3 linked regions of the Lonchura striata genome follow. The protein of the gene in region 1 interacts with the protein of each later gene in a biochemical or structural test. Links are inferred from orthologs where the notes say so. Each region holds a gene or a part of one and is shown in the gene's direction. Other genes may lie near its edges.

Evidence for each region.
Region 2: the proteins of MAP1LC3A (region 1) and PHB2 form a complex in vitro, tested with the Homo sapiens proteins (2 studies listed by BioGRID). The link is inferred for Lonchura striata from reciprocal best matches to the Homo sapiens genes MAP1LC3A and PHB2.
Region 3: the proteins of MAP1LC3A (region 1) and ATG7 form a complex in vitro, tested with the Homo sapiens proteins (2 studies listed by BioGRID, with this or other methods). The link is inferred for Lonchura striata from reciprocal best matches to the Homo sapiens genes MAP1LC3A and ATG7.

What each region holds. Positions count from the first base shown.
Region 1 is NC_134619.1:13,501,307-13,508,928, reverse strand, and holds the start of MAP1LC3A (microtubule-associated protein 1 light chain 3 alpha), read left to right. Parts: upstream 1-4,604; 5' UTR 4,605-4,689; coding exon 4,690-4,729; intron 4,730-7,622. UniProt on the Homo sapiens protein: Ubiquitin-like modifier involved in formation of autophagosomal vacuoles (autophagosomes). While LC3s are involved in elongation of the phagophore membrane, the GABARAP/GATE-16 subfamily is essential for a later stage in autophagosome maturation.
Region 2 is NC_134604.1:29,818,472-29,825,593, reverse strand, and holds the start of PHB2 (prohibitin-2), read left to right. Parts: upstream 1-4,118; 5' UTR 4,119-4,170; coding exon 4,171-4,297; intron 4,298-4,377; coding exon 4,378-4,462; intron 4,463-4,532; coding exon 4,533-4,612; intron 4,613-4,999; coding exon 5,000-5,184; intron 5,185-7,122. Other genes in the region: EMG1 (ribosomal RNA small subunit methyltransferase NEP1), read right to left, coding at 219-332, 1,100-1,249, 2,718-2,776, 3,137-3,278, 3,582-3,683, 3,769-3,912.
Region 3 is NC_134614.1:5,343,563-5,351,180, reverse strand, and holds the start of ATG7 (ubiquitin-like modifier-activating enzyme ATG7), read left to right. Parts: upstream 1-4,614; 5' UTR 4,615-4,623; coding exon 4,624-4,789; intron 4,790-4,966; coding exon 4,967-5,021; intron 5,022-6,185; coding exon 6,186-6,303; intron 6,304-7,123; coding exon 7,124-7,201; intron 7,202-7,618. UniProt on the Homo sapiens protein: E1-like activating enzyme involved in the 2 ubiquitin-like systems required for cytoplasm to vacuole transport (Cvt) and autophagy.

The sequences.
Region 1 (7,622 bases):
GAAAATCAGAACCTTCCTAGGACTGTTTTTGTTTGTCTGTTGCTTTCTCTGAACAAGGATTTGGCCCAAGGGCATGTGCAGTTCACTCACAATTGGCTCTTGTGTTGTAGTGTTTTCCTGCCACTTTCTCTCCACTCCAGACAGAATTTTCATGGCTAAGGAAGTCCATTGATGGCACCCATGGGAAATCTCACACTGTCTCAGCTCAGTAGCCAGTTTAATCTCCTATTTTCCTTTAGTACTTTTCAATTGATGCCATTAAAGATTAAAAAAAACCAAAAACCACATGGTTACTCCAAAATGCTCAAGGGGTTATTTTGGTGGAGTTTTTCTTCAGGAAAAAAAAAAAAAAAAAAAAAAAAAAAAAGCAGGGCTGGAGAATGCTATGGTAACTGCAGCTGTGGAGATTTTGGTAAAAATGTTGGTGTTGAGTTGGGCACTTGTGGCTTTCAGAGCCCTGCGAAGGGTGGGTGTGGGAGGATTCAAACAGCCAAGGTACCCTGCATGTTTTCTCTGTGCATTTTCAGACCTGGACATGAATTTTTGGACTGTGTATAATCTGCTAGGTGGTGTCCATGACCCTGAAGGTCAGAAATGCCTGTTGGGGTCTGTAGCCCTGTAGCATCAGTGCTTTGCGTGTCCCAGCTGCCCCTGTGACTCAGGTATTGCTGTTCATGAGCTGCTTCTCCCTTTACACTAGGTCTGGTTTAAGCCATTCCATCAAAACAGGGAATAGGGTCTGGAATCCTGCTTGGTCTTTGGTGCAGCTCCTGATATGCAGCAGTTTACATAATGCCTTTGATCTGCAATAATTGTATGCTGCCTCCCAAAAAAATTAACCTCCAGCAAGCTGAAGTCTGGCTAATTGAACAGTGAGGCAAGGCAGAAGAAAAATGTGACCTCAGTGATCTCTCTCTGTTGTTTGTAACCCAGAGAAATATTTCCTTGGAGGTGGTGACCTGCTTATGGATTTTTGCTTTCTCAAGTAGGTGGCAGTGCTACTTCTCTGAACAGTGAAAAATCTGTAGTGTCCTGCATTCTTTTGGACACTTCCTTAATGATAGCTGTCCTACCAGTAGCTTGGTGTCACAGTAGCTTGGGACAGAGTATTGAGTGTTGGTTTTAAGTAAAACAAGCTGTAATAAATAACCTATTGCAAAACAAAAGATCATGGCCCTTTTTTATTGTGTTGAGATCATAAAACTTGCAGTGAAATGACTGAACTCATGCTATGTGCTGGTTGGTTGGAGGATTGAGGGTTGGTTAGGGGATTTTTCTCAGGATTGAGAGCAGCCTGGCATGAAATATACTTGGGAATTTGAATGAAAGGCTCTTAAGCTGGGTTGGGAGTCAAGGAGTTTGTCAGATCGATCTGGGCAGGGCCTTACTTAGGCCATGTAGTGCCACCTTTACACCAGCACCCAAAATTAATTCAGATTTATTTTTTAAAACTGGCAAGAGGTGAAGCAAGCTGAAGAACAAAAACTATCATTTACTTACTATGGAACAAAGTAATTAACTAAATAGTAACTAAACTAATAAACTAAACTCAAGTTTATTTGGATTAGGACCATTAGAGAGTCACAGAGCTGTCAGCAATTTCCATGTATGAAAGTCAGGGGAGGGTGTCATTTTCCTACATTACCACAAACGGTCAAAAAGAAAGATGGAGCTCAGTTTCTGGTCCTGTGCTTCGTGAGTCTGGGCCTGGTTATTTGTATGGTAAAACTACTGCCAGACTGAGGAAGAGAGAAAAATTAGCATTATGGTTCTAGTCCTTTTTCCTAGCCAGGATCACAGGAAGCTTGAGCAGCCTATGCCATCTGCATCTTGGAGCTGCTCTGTGCTGGGGCTGGCCTGGTTTGCTGTCTTGGAAAAGTCAGTTTTGGTTTTGGTGGATCCCTGTCGAAGGCTGAGGAAACATCTGCTGTTGGGAAAACAAACCCTGATGGATTAACAAGGTAATGAAAGGGAGTTTGGGGCATGGCTCTGGGCTGGGAAGGGCAGCATGTGAGACCCAAGGATGTGCTACCTCTGTGCTGAGATAAGGCTCTGACAAGAGTGGAGGTAACTGTAAAAGCTGAGCTTGTGAACACCTTCTGTGGATTTGTGTTGGCTCCAGAACCCTCCCAAGTAACTCCTTCCCTGCCTAAGGTGGCTGACAGTGTCCTTCACATACAGGACACAGATGTGTCTGCCCCATCCCTGGAAGTGTCCAAGGCCAGGTTGGACAGGGCTTGGAGCAACCTGGGATAATGGAAGGTATGGGCAGGGGTGGGACTGGATGAGACTTAAGGCCCCTTCCAACCTAAACCAGTCTGTGATTTGTTTCATCTTGTCTTAGTTACTTCTCTAGAGGACAAAGGCAAAGATCTCACACCAAGAGAGGCTGGGCTAAAGTGAGCAGAGCTACAGCAGCTCCTGGGACCCACCAGCTGCAAGAGAAGCAGAAGCAGCTGGGGGTGCAGGGGCAGCAGCTTGGACACTGCCTTGGCCAGCAGGAGCCCGGGCATCAACACAATTCTGTTGGCAAAAATACACTTCCTTTACCAGGATTACAGGATTCCTCCAGGGAGATTTCCCTCACTGCTGTGGTTTCACAAGATCCAGGAGTGCTCGTTTTTAGTGGTGCTGCACTGTGGAATGCTGGCATGCGGGAAGATCCTTGTCGATTCCAGGTCATGTCAGGACAGCTCGCTGGTGCCTTAAACCTTTGACTGATCTGGGGAGAAGGGGGTGGGATCTCAAATGCACCTCCTTAAATAAGGAGTTTGGCCAGGGACATCAGTAAAACCAGGCAAGAGGGGCATTAATGTGTGCTGAATTGTTCAGGAAGCTGAGGGCTGAAGGAATAAGTGTATAAATTAAATCAAACTATTTGATCCATATCCCATTTCTGGAGGTACACTAACATGCTGAGAAGCTCCGGAGGTCCTATGAAATGGAGTTTTTTCTCCCTTTCCAGGTTTCTGAATAATTTTCTGTGGAATTATGGCCACAGTCCTGCAGTGAGGTCTGCATGGATAAAACCAGGGGCCACATCATGAAATTGGAAAGACTTTCACATTCCTCTCATTGAAAAGAGGTTCACACTTTATAGCAACAGTAACAAGCCCCATTGCTGAGGATGAAGTCTGTAAAGGTCATCACTTGCCATGTCTGATTCAACATTCCTGCTTTCCCTTCAGTATTTTTAACAGGACCTATATCAGAGATTAATATCTTTACGTGTATCTTAATTATGGAAGTGAATCTGAAGAGTTTATACTTCCTTACCAGTATGTGCTTGTTTAACTACTGCTTGGTCAAGGAAAATCCATTATATTGAGCATGTAAGTGTTTTCTTTCTTGGGTAAACTCAGCAAGGAAACAAGAATTTCTTCAATTCTCATTAAACACATATTTGTTTAAATTGGTGACGCAATAATCGGAGCAGTTCTTTCAAAACTGCATTTTTCATGTATTTTTTTTTACCAAGGTTGTACTTAATCCTTTAACATTTTGTGTTTGCTCCTGTTTTGTGCCAATTCACTGTAGCAATGAGACATTGCTCCACACGATACAGCTCCTGTTGTGGCGTGCAGTGAGGAGGGATATTAGACCTGGTGATACACTGACGCTCTGTTTGCAGTTGTTTTTGATTCATTTATCAGCTCCAGAAATAGCTGCCCTATTTGTAGTCATGCTGCAGGCTTTAACATATTCAGCATAGCCATGGCTGTGAATGCAGGAGGGAAAACAACGGGCTCGTTAGCAGAGAGATGATTGGGGTAGATGGGAATCACAAATGTCAGAGTATCTGTGAGAAAGTAGTTTACATCCAGGTTTGTTGGCTGGAATCTGGTCTGAGCTGTTGTGGCTTCATCCCCACACAATCCTTCCTTCTCCACCCTTCTCACAACAGCCACATTTGCTGCCCAAAGCTGGTGGTGACACTCGGAAGATGTTTTAGTGAAGATGTCCAGAAGATGCCACCGCAGGCCAGAGTCACGGACACCTCTGTCTGTGGAGCAGCTCTGGAAATCCCAGCCCAGGTGTCCTTCTGCTGCCTTAAGCAAGGCCCTCAGGTCCTCTGCTCCATCAGGACTGGAAAAAAAGCTTGTGTTTGGGGTCACCTCTGAATAAAGCACCATGTCCCATCGGGAAATGGGGATGCTCTGCCATGGCTCGTGTCACGGCCATCCTCGTGTCACCAGCTGCTCTCTCCCATGTTGCGGCTTGTAAAAAAGAAAGGGGCAGATAGTAATAGGACAAGAGGGAATAGTTTTAGACAAAAGAAGTGAGATTTCGATTGGTATTGGGAAGGAATTTTTCCCTGTGATGATGCTGAGGTCCTGGCACAGGGTGCCCAGGGAAGCTGTGACTGTCCCATCCTTGGCAGTGCCCAAGGCCAGGCGGGACAGGGCTGGGAGCAGCCTGGGACAGTGGAGGGTGTCCCTGCCATGGCAGGGGCGGCACGGGCTGGGCTGTAGGGCCCGTTCCAGCCCAACCCCGGAGCGGCCCCGCGCCCCCCGCGCCCCCCGCGCCCCGCGCCCCCCGCGCCCCCCGCGCCCCGCGCCCCGCGGTCCCGGGGCGGGCGGGCTCAGGCCCCGCCCCCTGAGGGCGGTGCGCGGTGACGTCACCGCCGCTCCGCCGCAGCCCCAGCGCAGACGGAGCCGCCCGGTGCCGGAGCCGCCCGGTGCCGCCGCAATGCCCTCGGACCGGCCCTTCAAGCAGCGCCGCACCTTCGGTGAGCCGGGACCGGCCGGGAGCGGCCGCGCGGGAGGGAGGGACGGGCGGGCGGATGTGCCCTGCGCCGCCCCCGCCGTGCTGCCCGGCGGGGCGGCCCCGCCCGGGCCGGGGCTCGGCCGCCGCGGGTCCCGCCGGGGCGGCCGCGGGAGCAGCGGGGCCCGGCCGGGGGCGGCGGTGCCGCAGCCGCCGCGCGGTGATGTCATCCCGCGCCGCGCCCGGCCGAGCGCAGCGCTGTCCCCGGGCCGTCCCCGCTTCTCCCGGGGACCGGGGTCACCGGGGCGCGGCGGCGGCCGCAAAGGGCCGTGGAACGCCCGGGGGGACGGTGATGGCCACGTGTCCCTTTCGACTGTCAGAACACAAAGACCTCCCCAAAAATCGCCTTCCGCGCTCCCCATCTGGTCGGCGTTGGGGCGGTTGTTGTTCCAGGATGTCGCACGCCCTCTGTGATGGTTGTGAGACACAGAGTCAGTGCTCGCATCCTCCCCGCCTCTTTGTCAGAGGTCCGTGGTGGGGAGGCTCAAAAGGTGAGGAGGTGACTGTAGAAAGTCCCGGATTTCTATCTCCAGACCCGACAGCGGAATCCGAGGAAACACCAACTGCTGTTTTCCCTTGACCTTTGCCGGCTGGCGCAGGGAGAGGTGTGTGCTTCTGGCAGGTTAAATTTCTGGGGAGGGGGTAGCAGTTGAACTTTACTCGCTGTATAATGCTGAAATCGGTACTTTTATGCCATAAAAAACCCTCATATTGTGCCAGAGACTGTCCAAACGCAGGTGAGGGCGTTTCCTACATGAGTTTTAAAATTGGAGTTTTTGCCTGCTGAAAGCTGCTGATCCAGCCCCTTCTGCTCTCTTGGAAACTGTAAATATTTGGTATTATATTGGCACAACCCTTCTGGCCTTGAATGCTTACCCAGTCCTCCCCTGCCACAGGACCGAGCCAAGGGAACATGCACAAACAAGAACCAGCTGAAGCCTGGGAGCTTGGGATCCTTGCTGGGAACCTGCTGTGTGCTCCTAAGCTACGTATTAAAACCAGTGAAGTCCTAAATCGGCCCCTTAGTAACTACCTACTGTTAAATTGGTGAGAATCAGCTTATTATGGTTAGGAGTAGACTGGTTTGCCTTTGTGGATTGCTCAGACTTTCTTTGAGCCAGAGGGAAAACAAAATCTGAGGCTCAGAGTAGTTGAAAGAAAGCAGGATTAAAATAGCCCGGGAGGGACAGAGGGGGTGAGGGAGTTTGGTGCCGGCAACTGCAAGTGCTCCTTGTTTCTCCGTACTTTCCTCTGCCCTTTTGCTCTCTCAGCTGACTGGGCTGCAGAGCTGAGCCAGGAGGAGAGAAGGAGGAGGACGCCTGGCAGCCCCTGCAGTTGCTTTGGGTCAGGGCTGGAATTACTCTGTTGGAGAAAGTAAATATGGCTTGTTTTTGTCTTTGAATCATTACACAACAGGAGCAGGAAGTGATTGTTTACAATGCAGTTGGAGAGGGCTAGTGGAAAACATCTCCAGTGATTCCATACCCTCAGAATGGCTTAATTTTTAAGGCTTCAAAACTTTACAGAAATGGAACGGTTCCAAAAAAGCAGTGAAAAGGCAGAGTCAGGGCTATGGCTGTTTACAAAAGGCACACAGGCTCCAGTTTCATGGCAAGTGGCTGCCTTAGGTCTTGGGCTGCTGCTTCTCAGTGAAGATTCTCGTTTCCCCAAAGCTTGTGTTCCCCCCTTCTTGTATTTTTTGAATTTTTCTGTGAATTTCTTAGGTTTGTTCAACTGCTTGGTCTTGGGTCTCTCCTGAGTAAAATTTCCTGATTTCTCCTCATCATTTCTAAGGACTTGAGAAGGGGACTGACTGTGAAACAACAGGGGTTTGATCCAAGGTGTGTGGAGGGCACGGAGCAGTGACTCCTCCCGTGATCTCAGGTGCTGTCCCTGGTGGGCAGGTGAGCTCTGTGAGCTGGTCCTTGGCAGCAGAACGTCCTTGCTGTGTGTGCAGGGGGTAAGATGTGGCAGCACCCTCTGCATCCATGTGCTGAACCCAGAGGCTGAGGCATGTTCAGATCTGTTGCAGGAGTCCAAAACAATTCCCAGAACAAAGCTGTGGTCTGTGTCAGAGGAACAGGCTGTCCTGGCAGTCGTGAGAGTGTGCAGCAGCCTGATGACACCATTGCACTTCCCGAAAGGAACACGGGTCCTTGGGAGCATTGTCCCACTGCTCCTGAAGTGAGGTTTGCATTGGGCTGGCAGCAGCTGCCAGCTGTGTTTTCAGTGCAGCACAAAATCAGTGTGGTGATGGACATGGGCCTGGATCCTGGAGCAGCCAGGTGACCCAGAGCACCTTGGTCCCGTGCCCCCGTGTCCGGCAGGAACAGAGGCAGGAACACACCTGCATGTGCCTTGTGGCTCAACTGGAGTCCCTGATTTGGTGACAAACACAGAGGTTTGACCTCAGCCTCTGTGGACAGAGTGTTCCCATCCCAGGTTCCATCCTCTTGGAGATCTGCCTTTGTTTGTGGGAAGCCACTCTCTCTTCAGAGGAAACGCAGTGGTGGGTGTGGAGCAAATCCCCTGTTGGCTCTGGGGATCGGCGTCCCTGGGGACTCATCCAGCACAAGCCAGCTGTGCTTGTACCCACTGAGAGACCAGTAGTGGCTGAATTGTCTGCCTCACACACCGTTCTGTGCTTATCACAACAGTTCTGCTCATTAGTGGCTTGGAAAAACATCTGGATATTGATGTGAGATTGGTCTGTGAGCCCTCGCTGGTCCTTGGCTGGTTCTTGGGTGTCTGTGCTCTGGCAGTTGTGCTTTGAGAGCTGGGATTCCTTGAGAGGAGGATGCTGCTCCAAATTGCTGCTTAGCTGCCTGTGTCTTGGATTAATTACTGAGGACATTCTG
Region 2 (7,122 bases), on another chromosome or scaffold:
AAGCACTTTTTACTCAAAAAAGGTACCTTTAATAGGAGGAAAAAAGGTCAACAGGGCAGTCCATTTTAAGTCTCATTGCTTCAGAAGCTACAAGGATGAAGTTGAAGTGTTTTCCAGGAGCCCAAAGCTGCACCAGGTCCACATCCAAGTTAAAAAGCCCTTCTAGAATGTGAAGTCACTGTATACAAGTCCATCATGACAGCAGTAGCAGCAGAAGCTCATACTACTCCCCACACTTCCTCAAAGGCAGTAGTAATTTTAGCACATGTCAGGGCAGCAGAAAGGGGATAGTTGCTGATGGAGACCATCTTTTCTGTATAGTCAACACTGACCTGGAGAAGAGGGAGGAGAAATAGAAAAAAAAAAAAAAAAAAAGTTGCAAAAAGTTTTCACTGAGCCTCATCTCCATTAGTACAAGAAAGACAAGGAGCCACTGGAGAGGGTCCAGCAAAGGCTAGACAGATTATTCAGACATGGAACCATCTCTTATGAGAAGAGACTGCAGGGTCTGCTTTGTGTAGGGAAGGGAAGACTGAGAGGGGATCCCATTAATGCACATAAATATCTCAAGTGTGGGTGCCAAGAGATGGTGCCAGACTCTTTCCTCCAGTGCCCAGCAACAAGGCAAGGAGCAATGGCCATAAACTAAAACACAAGGAAGTTTCACCAAAAAAGAAGGAAGAACTTCTTTATTATGAGGGTGGCAGAGAACTGAACATGCTGCCCAGGGAGGTTGTGGAGTCTCCCTCTCTGGAGACGTTCAAAATCTACCTGGACATGTTTCTGTGTCACCTGCTCCAGGTGACCCTGCCTTGGCAGGGAGTTGGATTGGATGATCTACAGAGATCTCTTCCAACCCTAAGACCTGCAGAGGCACAGTATTTCCTCAGCAGGGAAACTGCCAGCCTCTGCTAATGCACTCCCCTTGGGAGGGAGAACAGTCCCAAATGTAGCAGTTTTGAGCCTTTTTTTGACAAGCATATGAGGGGAGGGGGGGAATGGGGATGGGGAAACCAAGCCAAGAAAAGGGCAGATAAAACCTCCATACTGAACACAAGAAACCTTTCCACAACCCCAGATAAGGGATGCACACACTTACTGAGCCGTGGGCAAAAGCTCCCACCACAATGACAACTGGCTCTGCTGCAGGAACCAGCTCCCGCAGATCTGACACCTGTGACACTGCAAAAGAGGTGCCAATCTTCATACAGCCCACGGGCAAATGGTCAGTGACTGGGTTTTTTATCACCTACAGAAAGCAGAAAATGAATAGAGGTTAGAGGTAACAGACCCTCTTGACACATAGCTAGAGCCATTGTTTGCTAAAATCAACAGACAAACAAAAAATCCATCAGCTGTTTGCAGGCTGCATTCAGGACTGGTGCATCTCGAGCAACCCATCCTCATTGTCCTTGGTGTTTACAAAATACCACGGTGGTGTCATTCCACAACCAACACTGTCATTCCACAATTCAACATCACAGACTGCCCTCACCCAAAAAATCAAATGCCCTTGAGGTACACATCCTGTTTCCCTATCCCCCCCCGACTACCCACCAAGTACAGCCGGGTCCTTGAGCAAAAACAATCCCAGATGGGTGGAGATATGCCCAAGGTACAGGTGATGTTCAGGTAGATGAGTCTTAGCTGTGGGGAGCAGTAGAACGAGTAGCAGAGCTCCCCATGACCAGCAGTGCAATTCCTGAATAATCCAAAATTGAAAAAGTCCACAAGACCTTCTCCCAAGTGACAGTAGGCAATATAGAATAGCCAGGGGAAGCTGAGGCACAGCACTGCTCCCAGGAAGAGCATCCCAAACACCACCTTCTCCTGCAAAGAAGGCATGAAGTACTCATTGGGCAGCAGGGTCAGGATCCCCAGGCACAGGGACAGAACAAACCCCAGCAGGTGTGTCCAGATGTTGCCAGTCTCAGTGTGTACCTGGAAGATGCTCTTGAAACAGGCACAGAGGGATGGCAAGGAGGACTTGTAGTCCCCTATAGGCAATTCTGTGTCATCTTGGCTGGCAAGCAGGCAGCTGCTGGGATTTAAAACCACTCTCCTTCTTTGGGGAATCCCGATTTTCCAGAAGAAACTTACAAAACACGTTTAAGTCCTGGTTAGTTCTTTGCTTCTGGGAGTCTTACTGACCTGCCTGCTGACCTGTGTCATTGGGCAGGGGCACTGGCTAGGGCTGAGCCTTCTCTGCCAAGATGCCATTACCATCACCTTCCTCAGGCTGCTGCTTTTCTGGCCTTTTCCAGCCACAGGGGTGGTTCTTCATCGGAGGAATCTGATATCCGATAAATCTTTTGTCCATGTGGTTTATCCAGTCTCCCCCTCCGTGACTGCAGAAGCCATTCAAGTTAATTACATCTTCATTTCCACCTCTCTCTGCCTTTTTGAAAGCTGTACCCAGAAAGTGTCAATGCCCATGCGTGGCAGTCAGGCTCACATGAGGAACAGATCCCTCAGCTCCAAAGACTGGTGTGTTTGGGGTTTCCTTCCTGCAGCAGCAGCTCCTAGCCAGGTTAGCATGTGGGGCAGCTCCCCTGAAACCAGGGCCACCAGCGAGGATAGGACGGGATAGATCAGAAACCACACCCACAATCAGGACTCGCAACCAAAAAAACACCTTCTCCCCATCGAGAAAAAATCCCTCCTACATTCCATTACAATGTTGCAATATTTGCTGTGAACAGTTACAAAATATTTACCTTCAGCAGTTTCTGAGGCCCATCAGCTGCTCTAACACTGAGCTTATGTAACAGCTGAACTGGCAAAGAGAAAACAAAACAAGAAAAATCACTTAAGCTGTGTGGCGATTTGTTGGATGAATCCCATGCTTTGCCTAACCTGAGGTACACCAAAAGTCCACCTTTAGAGTTCCTATCACAGTCTGAAAGAATTTATTTTGCTGACAGCACAGCCTCCTGCAGGCACTCTCCACTGTGCTAAGGAGCACACAGCTGGGGTATGCATCCTGGAACATCCCAGAAAGATGCTCTCGCTTCTGTGCTCTTTTCTCACTTTCACATCGTAAGGTCGGTGCTAGTTTTTCACTTTACCCGAAATTCCCCCAGTCCTGACTACCTCCCTGCATTATTCTGTAGCTGGTGTAGTTTGAATTGCTTACCCATTAGCCCACAGAATCGATCAAAAGTTCTTGGGATTCTGGTCTGGGGATTGACTTCAATGAGAACATTTTTCTTGGTGTGGATATAAACCTGTAGGAGCCCAGCCCGATTCAGGGGGCTGTCCATGAGCATCAGGAGACTCTGAAAGTGAAAAGCACACGATAGTGGAAATAGAAAGGCATAAGAGAGAAAATTTTAGGGAAAATTGATGCTTAGCCCCCGCAAATGCAGACGGGAGCGATGTCGAGGCTGAAAGCTCATCTCATTACGGGACGGGACACTGTAATGCTAAGAAATCAAGCCCACACCCAAACTCAGACTCAGCTTAAAGCCCACCAGCACAGCGGGGGAGCCCAAACTCGGCCCCGGGCTCCAGGGGCACCGGCGGACGCCCGGACCCGAGGGGCGATGGCCCCGAGCCGCCCCGCCGGGCCCAGCGGGTACCTGGTGCGTGATGTCAGGCCGCACCTCCCCGGGGTCCCGGCCATTCCGCAGCAGCAGCGCCTTGTGCTTGTCGCAGTTCAGCAGCTCGAACGTCTTCCCCACCTACGGCCAAAGCACGGACGGGTGAGCGGCGAGCGAGACCATCCCGGGCACGCCCGGACCCGCCCCGATCTCCCGCCGCCCACACCTTCACGGTCTCCAGGCTCGCCCCCTCCAGCACGACGAGGAGCCGGCGCTGGCCGCGGAGCCGCTTGGCGCCCGGCGAGCGCCCTTCATCCTCCTCCTCTTCCTCCGGCGGCGCGGCCCCACGTGCCCGCCTGGGCGCCGCCATTTTGTCACGCGGCCCCGCCGGCCCCGCCCCGGCCCCGCCCTTCCCGCCGCGGCCACCCAAGATGGCGCCGGGGCGCGCCCTCGATCTGGCTCCGGCCGGACCCGCTTCCGGAGCGCCTCGGCCGCCGCGCCGGAAGGCGAGTGCTGGGGGCGGGAAGGGGCAGCGTGGGGAGCTCCCGGCGCCGCGGTTTCCCGCCGGAGCGGCACGGCGGTCGCTCCTTCCGGTGTCCTTCCCGGCGGGGGCGGCGGCGGGGCGGCCATGGCGCAGAACCTGAAGGACCTGGCGGGGCGGCTGCCGACCGGGCCCCGCGGCGTCGGCACCGCGCTCAAGCTGCTGCTGGGCGCCGGCGCCCTGGCCTACGGCGTGCGAGAGTCCGTCTTCATTGGTGAGTGGGGTCCCCCCCAGCCCCTCGGAGCCTTCGCGGCCGCTGTCCACGCTGACCAAAGCCTCGCTCTCTCCCCGCAGTGGAGGGCGGCCAGCGCGCCATTTTCTTCAACCGCATCGGCGGCGTGCAGCAGGACACCATCCTGGCCGAGGGGCTGCACTTCAGGTAGGGCCCGGCCCCCCCGGCCCCCCGGCCCGGCGGGGCCCTCGCCCCTAACGCGGCTCCGCTCCCGCAGGATCCCCTGGTTCCAGTACCCCATCATCTACGACATCCGAGCGCGGCCGCGGAAAATCTCCTCCCCCACTGGTTCCAAAGGTGAGACGGAGGGGCCACGGGGTGGGGAGCACAGGACAGGAGCTCCGCCATAGTGGAGGCGCTTTTCAGACAATTACGGAATGTTAAGGGCTTGGAATAGACCTTAAAAATCGTTCAGTCACAATTTCCTGCCGTGGATAGTGACGCCTTTCACCAGCCCAGGCTGCTCAAAGCCCCATCCCACCTGGTCACGAGCACCTCCAGGGCTGAGGCATCCGCAGCTTCCCTGGACAGCTTGTGTCACCCCGCCCTCACCGTAAAGGATTTCTTCCCAATTCCCAGCCCAAGTGTCCCTCTCCCAGTCGGTGCTGCCTGCTCCTTGTCCCGTTGCTGCCGGGGAGGGGCTGTGCAGCCGCCCCGCGGCCCTGAGCGCTGCTGTCCCCGCAGACCTGCAGATGGTGAACATCTCGCTGCGGGTGCTGACGCGGCCCAACGCGGCCGAGCTGCCCAGCATGTACCAGCGCCTGGGGCTGGACTACGAGGAGCGTGTGCTGCCCTCCATCGTCAACGAGGTGCTCAAGAGCGTCGTGGCCAAGTTCAACGCCTCGCAGCTCATCACACAGAGGGCCCAGGTGAGCCCTGCCGCGGCAGCCTTGACGGGGGAGCCATGTGGCAGGTGCAGGAAGAGTGGCTGTGTTCAGCTGGGGGTACTGCATCCACGTGGGAAGCGTGTCCCACGTACAGCTTGATTCCAGTGCAGGTACAAATGCTGTGTCAGCAGCTTTAGAGGAGGGAAGTGGGTCTGTTGGTGCACAGAGTGCAAAACTGCACCAGAATGTAACACTAAGGGTGAGCTGGTTTGCTTCACGGTCCACAGGTGTCTGTGGAACTGGCTTTAAAAATACAGACCTTGGAATGACTGTCAGAGCAAATGAAACGGTTTTGAACAATTTGAGAAACAGTGGGAATGAGCAGTTAACAGAGCACTAACCTGTCAGTGGTGGATGCTTCAGAAGAGTCATGTATAACTTCTGTTTGCAGTCACAGAGTGGGCCAGGCTGGAAGGACCACAGTGGGTCATCTGCTCCAGCCTCCCAGCTCAAGCCAGGTCATCCCAGAGCACATGGCACAGGGTTCCATTCAGATGGTTCTTGAATGTCTGTAGTGAGGGAGACTCCACAAGCTCTTTGGGCTGCCTGTTACAGTGCCCTGTCACCTGCACAGTAAGAAGTTATTCCTCCTATCCAGGTGGAGCTTCCTGTGTTCTGGTTTCTGCCCATTGCCTCTTGTCCTGTTGTTTGACATCTCTGAGAAGAGCCTGGCTCAGTTGTCTTGGCACCCTCTCTGCAGGCAATGATTAGAAAAAGCTTAGAGTGGGAGAGTGTCCTCTGGGGGAGTGTTGCAAAATATTAGAATTACCTAGCTTAAAAATGCCTGTTTGTGGAAGCTTGTATTGTAATAGTTTGATTGCCAGGGATTCTGAGAGCTCTCATCCCCTACAGCAGCTGGCGCAGAGAGGAGGTGCTGGTCTTGTTGTAAAAGGTTTTAGAGGATGTCCTGCAGGACCAGGAGGGTGTTGAAGAGGAAAAGCTGTTGGATGAAATACAAAGCATCTTTCAGCTATCAGAGACTGTATCTCTGATCTGTGTCAAAAGAACCAAAGAGTGAAGCTGGGTGTCCTGGTTTTGTTATAAGAAGTGACCTGTATCCCCCTGGTGAGGGGCTTCAGCTTTTTGTGCTCATCCACATGGAGTGCACTGGAGGGATTTGTTAGTCTTCATGTAGAAAGAGAGTGTGTGGAGAGGATGAGACAGCAAAGAATATCTGTGTGAGGGTTTCAGCTGTGCTGGAAGCAAAGGCTGTTAAGCATCTGTGATCTCAGATAAGAATCATTGTTTAATCTCAGAAATTTTGGAACAAACTGAATTGCATTTATCTTGTCATGTATCCATCTAGTGCTTGTTATTCTAAAGTGATATGGTATTGAACGGATTGATAGAAAAAAATTAAGTGACTTAATGTAGTTGTGCACTGACAGTTCACACAGGAAAGTTTTCTGTCACTATTTAGAGTTCTGCTCAGAAACAGCTGCACTAAAAGTAAAAGCAAATGGTCAATTGGCCAAGCATGTGATATTGTAGCAATAGTTTCTGTTTAAGTCAATATTTGGTGCAGGACTTGTCAGGCTGCCTGAAAGAGGTGCTGGGAAGTAAGTGTAGAATAAATCAAAGTATCAAACAGCAACACCCACCCAAAGCAGCCGAAAAAAGTGGAGTTGCTACACTAGACAAGTAGCTACTGTAATTAAGAGATCTGATATAGGTTAAAAAAACTATGTGGTCATTTCTTTTTTTGTGTTGGAGTACAGTTATGAAAGCACAGCCTGCAAACAGTGGCAAATCCAGGTGGATAAAGAAATGCTTATTGCCAGAACTGTGGGAGCTATGGAACTGGATGTGAAAGCAAAAGACACTTTCAAGGTTTTTTACTTTCACAGTGTTACTTGCGTAGAACAGTTTAGTAGTAACTGTAGATGAGCTGTAATAGAGTTTTGAAAATGCTTTTTTTGG
Region 3 (7,618 bases), on another chromosome or scaffold:
TTTGGTTTCAAGTTGCACTCAGGAAAAACCGCAATTAGGAATCTTAAATCTAGCAGAAATAAGGCAAAATGCAGAGAGAGAACATAAAACCAACAAAATTCAGCGCAGAATGCAGACAAGTTTTTCACTGCAGGAGGAACACCTGCACAAGTAGTAAAATGCACCTCTTTGCAGTAGAGAACAGAACTTTTTGAAACACATGCTCTAATTCCTGACCTTTCACAAACAATTGCTGAGGTTCACAGCCATTAAATTGTTCTTTTTTCTATTCCGATTTGCAACAGCAATTCTGGCCAAAATGGATGGCAATTTAGATGGTCCCCGAGGAAATAAAAGTCAGCCACAGTTATTGGTGCTAAAAAACACATTTACCCAAGGACTGCTGAGAAATCTGTCCTGTTGATCATAAAAATTGCCTTTTTTGACCTTAAAATGTACTAATACACAAAAAAAACCTCAGCAAGGTCATTGAAAATTGATAAAAATCATTGAAAATTGGTCTAAAAATGATGGTGACTGTGACAACAAAAACCTTTGGTAAAAATAAAGAACATTCAAACAGCTAAACCAAGGAAAACACAGCTGCCTGAATTTTTTTTTAATTTCAAGCCAATTTACCCATGATTGTTGTGTAACTGTGTTAATAGCAAAGACAGGGGATTTGTGATAACCACATTTTATATATATAGCTATTAGATAACAATAAAACAGAGAAATGGGATAGTGTCTATTTTAAATAGCAAGTACCTAAGAAAATTTCTGAGTTTATTTCACTGAACAGGCAATTCCAGTGGCTCTGGATGTGAGGGAAGCAGAGGAAAGCAAATTTCGGTAAGAAATGGAGAAACCTCCCACCAATGTAAGGCCAAAGCTCAAGAGAATATTTCAGGTGTGGTTTCCTGTAAAATGTTTTCAGTGTTTTCCAGTTGACAGCCAAGGTCAGAGGACATGGAGTTTCAGAGAACACAACAAGAGTCTGAGGATTTCTAGGAGATACGTAAAACATGTTCACTCTCTTGTAAAAATGTTAAAACTTTAATAAAGGACAATAGGACCATAGAGCAACAGTTATTATGGCTGGGTGCATCTTGGCACTCAGTCAAGAGCACACCTGCTATTTTGGAAACACCCTTCATATACCATTTCTATTGCATCAGCCTGTTACATATATATACTGTTATGCATAGTAACAACTTTTCCTCAAACTAGTTTACAAATTCCAAGAACTGTTCAGCACAGCTCCTCCTCAGTTCTGCCTTTTTAGGGCATGCACATTCCTTGGTGGTGGTTTCAGTCCATTCTTACCAGCTCCAGTGATAAGAATGAACCTCCATAAGAATGGCTTTGGTCCATAACTGTTGGTACTTTTGGTCCAAAATATAGTCCATATTTTCTTCAGACGGTGAGTGCTGACAGTTGGCATTTCTGTACAATGTCCTCACCCTGTCTTCATGGGATGTGATCCCATCCAAGCAGGTACTTTAACACATACACACTTATATCAGCAATTTCACTAAGCTTAATTAACAACAGAAATAAAACCGGCATCTTTATAACAAAGTTACTTTAACATTACACATATAAAAATCCATTTTAGTACCTGCAAAAAGCCAATATTTTGTGTCCATAACATATTATTATAACATATTGTAATATAATTAACATATATGTCAATGATATATGTTATTATAATAAACTATGTGTTAATTATATTAACATATTACTATACTATGTGTACCAACACACAGAGATGTGCTGGGACTGATGTTTAGCAGCACAAGCTGCTCCCGGAGCGTTCCGTGGTCACCGGGGACACCTGGCGGGCCGGGAACCAGCCGGGAATTTCACCGCCCTTCCCACATTCCCAGCAAAGGCCACAGACAGAGAGGAACCACGACTGCAGGGACGCGTTTAGGCACTTTCCCACGACTAAAATGAAATTAAATTGCTGGATTTTCTCAGGGCTCCGCCGTGTGCCGGGGAAGTTGGAGCGGCACACGGCTCCAAGCGCTGCGGGACGCGGGCCCGCCCGACTGCTCCGAGGCGGGGGATGGGAACCGGGATGGGAACCGGGATGGGAACCGGGATGGGAACCGGGAGCGCACGGGAGGCGGCCCGGGCCGGGCCCGCCCTCCGTGCCCGCACGCCATCGCCCCGCGCCGCCCGCCCGTCACACGCTGCGCATCAGCGCCGTGCGCCGTGCCGGAAGGGCGGAGCGAGCGGCGCAGCCGGTAAGGGACGGCGGGCACGGGCGGCCGGGTCCCGCCGCCACCGCCACCGCCACCGCCACCGCACTGCCCCGGTACTGCCCCAGCCCCGGTACCGGCACCGCCCCAGCCCCGGTACTGCCCCAGCCCCGGCACTGCCCCAGCCCCGGTACCGCCACCGGCACTGCCCCAGCACTGCCCCGGTACCGCCCCAGCCCCAGCACTGCCCCGGTACCGCCCCAGCCCCAGCACTGCCCCAGCCCCGGTACCGCCACCAGCACTGCCCCAGTCCCAGCACTGCCCCGGTACCGCCACCGGCACTGCCCCAGCCCCGGTACCGCCACCGGCACTGCCCCGGCACTGTCCCAGCCCCGGTACCGCCACCAGCACTGCCCCAGTCCCAGCACTGCCCCGGTACCGCCCCAGCCCCAGCACTGCCCCGGTACCGCCCCAGCCCCAGCACTGCCCCAGCCCCGGTACCGCCACCAGCACTGCCCCAGTCCCAGCACTGCCCCGGTACCGCCACCGGCACTGCCCCGGTACTGCCCCAGCCCCAGCACTGCCCCGGCACCGCCCCAGCACTGCCCCGGTACCGCCACCGGCACTGCCCCGGTACTGCCCCAGCCCCAGCACTGCCCCGGTACCGCCCCCGGCACCGCCCCCGGCGGGGCTCGGCAGCGGCACCGTTCCCGCAGTGCCCCGGTACCGCCCAGCCCCAGCCCCGGCACCGTTCCCGCAGTGCCCCGGTACCGCCCAGCCCCAGCCGCGGCACCGTTCCCGCAGTGCCCCGGTACCGCCCAGCCCCAGCCCCGGCACCGTTCCCGCAGTGCCCCGGTACCGCCCAGCCCCAGCCGCGGCACCGTTCCCGCAGTGCCCCGGTACCGCCCAGCCCCAGCCCCGGCACCGTTCCCGCAGTGCCCCGGTACCGCCCAGCCCCAGCCCCGGCACCGTTCCCGCAGTGCCCCGGTACCGCCCAGCCCCAGCCGCGGCACCGTTCCCGCAGTGCCCCGGTACCGCCCAGCCCCAGCCCCGGCACCGTTCCCGCAGTGCCCCGGTACCGCCCAGCCCCAGCCCCGGCACCGTTCCCGCAGTGCCCCGGTACCGCCCAGCCCCAGCCGCGGCACCGTTCCCGCAGTGCCCCGGTACCGCCCAGCCCCAGCCCCGGCACCGTTCCCGCAGTGCCCCGGTACCGCCCAGCCCCAGCCCCGGCACCGTTCCTGCAGTGCCCCTGGCAGCCCCGCGGTCGGTGTGTCCGGGCCTCGGCCCGCTCCCCGCGGCAGCAGCCACGCGTAGACGGGGCCGGGCGGCCGGGGCCGTGTCAATGTTCCGGGATGGGGCCGTGTCCGTGTTCCGGGCCGGTGCCGGTGCTCTGTCGGTCCCGGATCGCGGTGCGGGGCCGGTGCCGTGCAGGTTCTCCGCCAGTGCCGCGTGGCTGTGCGGGGTTGGTCCCGTGTGCGTGCTCGGCTCCGGGCCCGGTGCCGTGTAGGTTGTCTGTCAGTCCGTGTCGCTGTGCGGGGCCGGTGCCGGTCCCGGTGCCGTGTGGCTGTGCTGTTTTCATGTCCATGTACGGGGACAGTGCCATGGACATGTTCGGGGCTGGTCCCGGTGCCGTGTCATTCCCGGGTCAGTGTTCGGTCCCGTTCCTGTGTCGGTATCGGTACCGTGTCAGTCCCGTTCCCGTGCCGGTCCCAGGGTCGTGTCACTCCCGTTCCCGTGTCGGTCCCGGTGCTGGTCCTGGTGCCGGTCCCGTTCCCGTTCCCGTGTCGGTCCCGTTCCTGTGCCGGTGCCGGTGTCGTGTCTGTCCCGGGGCCGTGTGGTTGTATCATTCCCGTGTCAGTGTTCGGTCCCGTTCCTGTGCCTGTCCCGGTGCCGTGTCTGTCCCGGTGCCGGTTGCTGTTCCTGTGTCAGTCCCGGTGCCGTGCCGGTGTTGGCCCCGGGGACATGTGGCTGTGTCATTCCCGTGTGGCTGTGCCGTTCCCGATTCCCGTTCCCGGTGCCGTTCCCTTGCCGTTCTCGGTTCCGGTTCCCGGTCCCGTTCCCTGTTCCCGGTCCCGTTCCCGGTTCCCGTTCCCGGTGCCGTTCCCAGTGCCGTTCCCGGTTCCCGTTCCCATTTTGCCGTTCCCGTTCCCTGTTCCCGGTCCCATTCCCGTGCCGTTCCCGCTCCCGGTTCCCGCTCCCGGTTCCCGCTCCCGGTTCCCGCTCCCGGTTCCCGTTCCCGGTGCCGTTCCCGTGCGGTTCCCGGTGCTGTTCCCAGTTCACGTTCCCGTGCGGTTCCCGGTGCCGTTCCCGTTCCCAGTTCCCGTTCCCTGTTCCCGTTCCCGTGCCGTTCCCGTTTCCCGTTCCCGTTCCCGTTCCCGTGCCGTTCCGTGCCCAGCGGGCGCTGTGTGTGTCCGCAGGGCCCCGCCGCCGCCGGGCCATGGCCGCTCCGCGCCGCGCCGCGCCGGCCCCGCCGGCCCCGCTGCAGTTCGCCCCGTTCAGCAGCGCGCTGGACGCCGGCTTCTGGCACGAGCTGACCCAGCGCAAGCTCACCCAGTACCGCCTGGACGAGACGCCCAAGCTCATCAAGGGCTACTACTACAACGGTGAGCACCGCCGCCCGGCCCGCTTCCGCTCCCGCCGCTCCTCCGGCGGCTCGCTGAAGCGCTACAAAGAATGGCTGGGAATTTTGTGTGTTTCGCTGTCATTTGCATCGACAAAGAAAGGGAAATAACCTGAATACTTTGGTTTAAAAAGAGCTTTGTTGCTGGTTTTTTGTCCAGGTGATCCTCCGGGTTTGCCAGCTCGATTGACACTGGAGTTCAGTGCCTTTGATATGTAAGTACAGGCTGTGGTTTGCTTTCATTTGTGTTTGGAGACACTTTCCTAGTATAAAATTGACATATTACTTAGAGAAACTCTACGTGAGAATAAACTCTACCTGAGAATAAACAAATTCATTTACCCTCTATGCGAGAGTAAATAAATAACCTTTTTGCCAAAGGCTCTTGTTGTTACAGTCACCATCATTCTTAGACCAATTTTCAATGATCTTGCTGAGGTTTTGTCATGTATTAGCACATTTTAAGTTCAGAAAAGGCAGTTTTCATGGATAAATAAATTAATTAATGTACTTCATAGCAGTGGAGAGATTGCTTTGAGTCACAAAAAAATTAACTCCTTCTGGCTGAATTTAAAATATTCTGAATTCTTAGATTCACTCACTTTCTACATGTATGTTTATATGAAATACCAGTTTTTTTCCCATTTCCTCAGCTTTTTGCATCAGGGAGGTTTTTTTAGTCATTTGCCTCTTCCCCTTATAGCTTAATTAGCATTTCAAATAGATTTTAGGTCCCTGGTTGTTACACTGTAATGTCCTCCAAAGTGTTTTATCTGTTATGACTGGAAAAATACCAAGTTTAGAGATCAGTGTTAAAGGAGGCAGTAAAATCCATCAGATCTGTAAATTAAGGAAATATTGTAGGATTTTAACCTAATATATCTCAAAAGTAAAATACTGATTGCAACAGCAGCTTCTCCAGCTGATGATATTACAAATTATAAAAGTTGCTCAATCTTTTGTCTGGCTTGGGTTTCCTTTGGGATGTGTTTTAAACATCAAATTTTAACTAACTCTTAGTGTGAGTACAAAACTGGCATCTAAGTTCAGCCTAAATTGGTTTTTCTCAATGCAAATCCCATTTGTCACAGGTAGCTTCTGTTTGAACAGAAATTCAAAGCTTCACTCCCTGGTTTAGTGTCACTCTGCTTGGGGAGAACACAGATGCCATGTGTATTTTTGAAGCCATGATGGAGATGTGTGTTTGCACATCTGGTTATTATTCCATCAATCCATCTTCATAAGGATTAAGTTATTTATTTAATGAATTTTAATTTTGTTGCTGTGCCTCATCATTTGGTTGAAGTTAACACCATAAGATAGATATTGCTGCTGCTGATGACTGTGTTAATTCCCAGAGTTTTCCTGCTTTTTTCCAGGAATGCTTCAATACCAGCACGTTGCTGTCCTGCTTTTGGAACATTGTATAACACCAACACTTTTGAGACTTTCAAATCCTGTGATAAAAAAGCACTTCTGGACAAGGAAGCAAAAGAGGTGAGATTTAAAATCAAATCATAGAGTGTTTCCAAATCCCTTCTACTCATTGAAGTGCTTTACACTCTGCCCCAAATTTGGAGCTATTCCAGTCTTGAGCAGCCTCAGGATTCAGTTTATTCTGGAAAGAAGAGTTTGGTGTTTGCTTTTTATTGTTCTCTACAAAAGAGTATAACCTAATTAATGATAACTAATTCTACATGGAGAACTCCATCACATTTTAAGCTCTGCAATGCTCTTGGAGCTGCCAGGGACTTAAATTCTGTAGAGCACATATTTAAAATTTGTCTTCGTACCCAAAAACCAGCAGTGCCTGGTTTAAACCCCAGATTACTACAATTTATATGTGTGACAAAGAGATGGGGAAACTTCACAGCAGCAATAATCATAAAGATAATGAGAGATAATAAAGCAAAAAAAAGATGGGTGAGAGGGGCTGGTCTGCCTGCATTGTCACCAGTGTATTTAATGTCATGGCCTGGGGAGAGGTGAAGGTCAAATTTAAGATGCTTTACTTTGACCTGTCCTTGATTCCTTTAATTAATTGCCTTGAGTAACAAAGTTTTCATGCATATCTTCACTCCAAACTAGGATTTTTTTTCGCATTCCTGTGGTCTCATAATTCCCTGTTGTCTCACCTTTAAAATCCTTTTAACACAGATAATTGTATGAATTAATTCAGTTTAAAAGAATGCTAAAGAATATTTATCTCCAGACTTTATATGTAGCTGGAAGAATTACAGATTTTTGGAGCTGTTCTCATGTTCTCTGGTGTTTCTTTGCCCTTTTTCTTCCTTCTTGTCCCCACAATCCTTGGCAGATCTGGGAATCAATCAAATCTGGAGCTGCTCTGGAGAACCCAATGCTGTTGAACAGGTTCCTGCTGCTGACATTTGCAGTGAGTACAGAAAATTTGTGTCTACTACTTGTAGTGGAAGTAGTGAAATAGTTTGTTTTTAGGAGTATTCATATATTTTGTATTAATAATAATGCTGCATTAATATATTTTTATATTATTTCCTACAAATGTATAAGATTACCTGATGGCCTTACAGATATCAGTAAAAATAGAGCAGCTGTTTCATGTTGAAGAAATTGAAAGCTTTACTACATGCTCCAGCTACCAAAGCCTGAAGGATTGTACACACATTGTCTCTTTAAATCTTAAATAAAAACATATACAGAGAATGAAGTCCTTAGCATTTTTATGATTTTCTAAAATCATTGTGAAGTAAAGACCCCTGTGGTTTCCATGGTTAAAATCATAAACCATTAATTTTAATTAGTATTGTATAATTTATTTTGATATATCTCC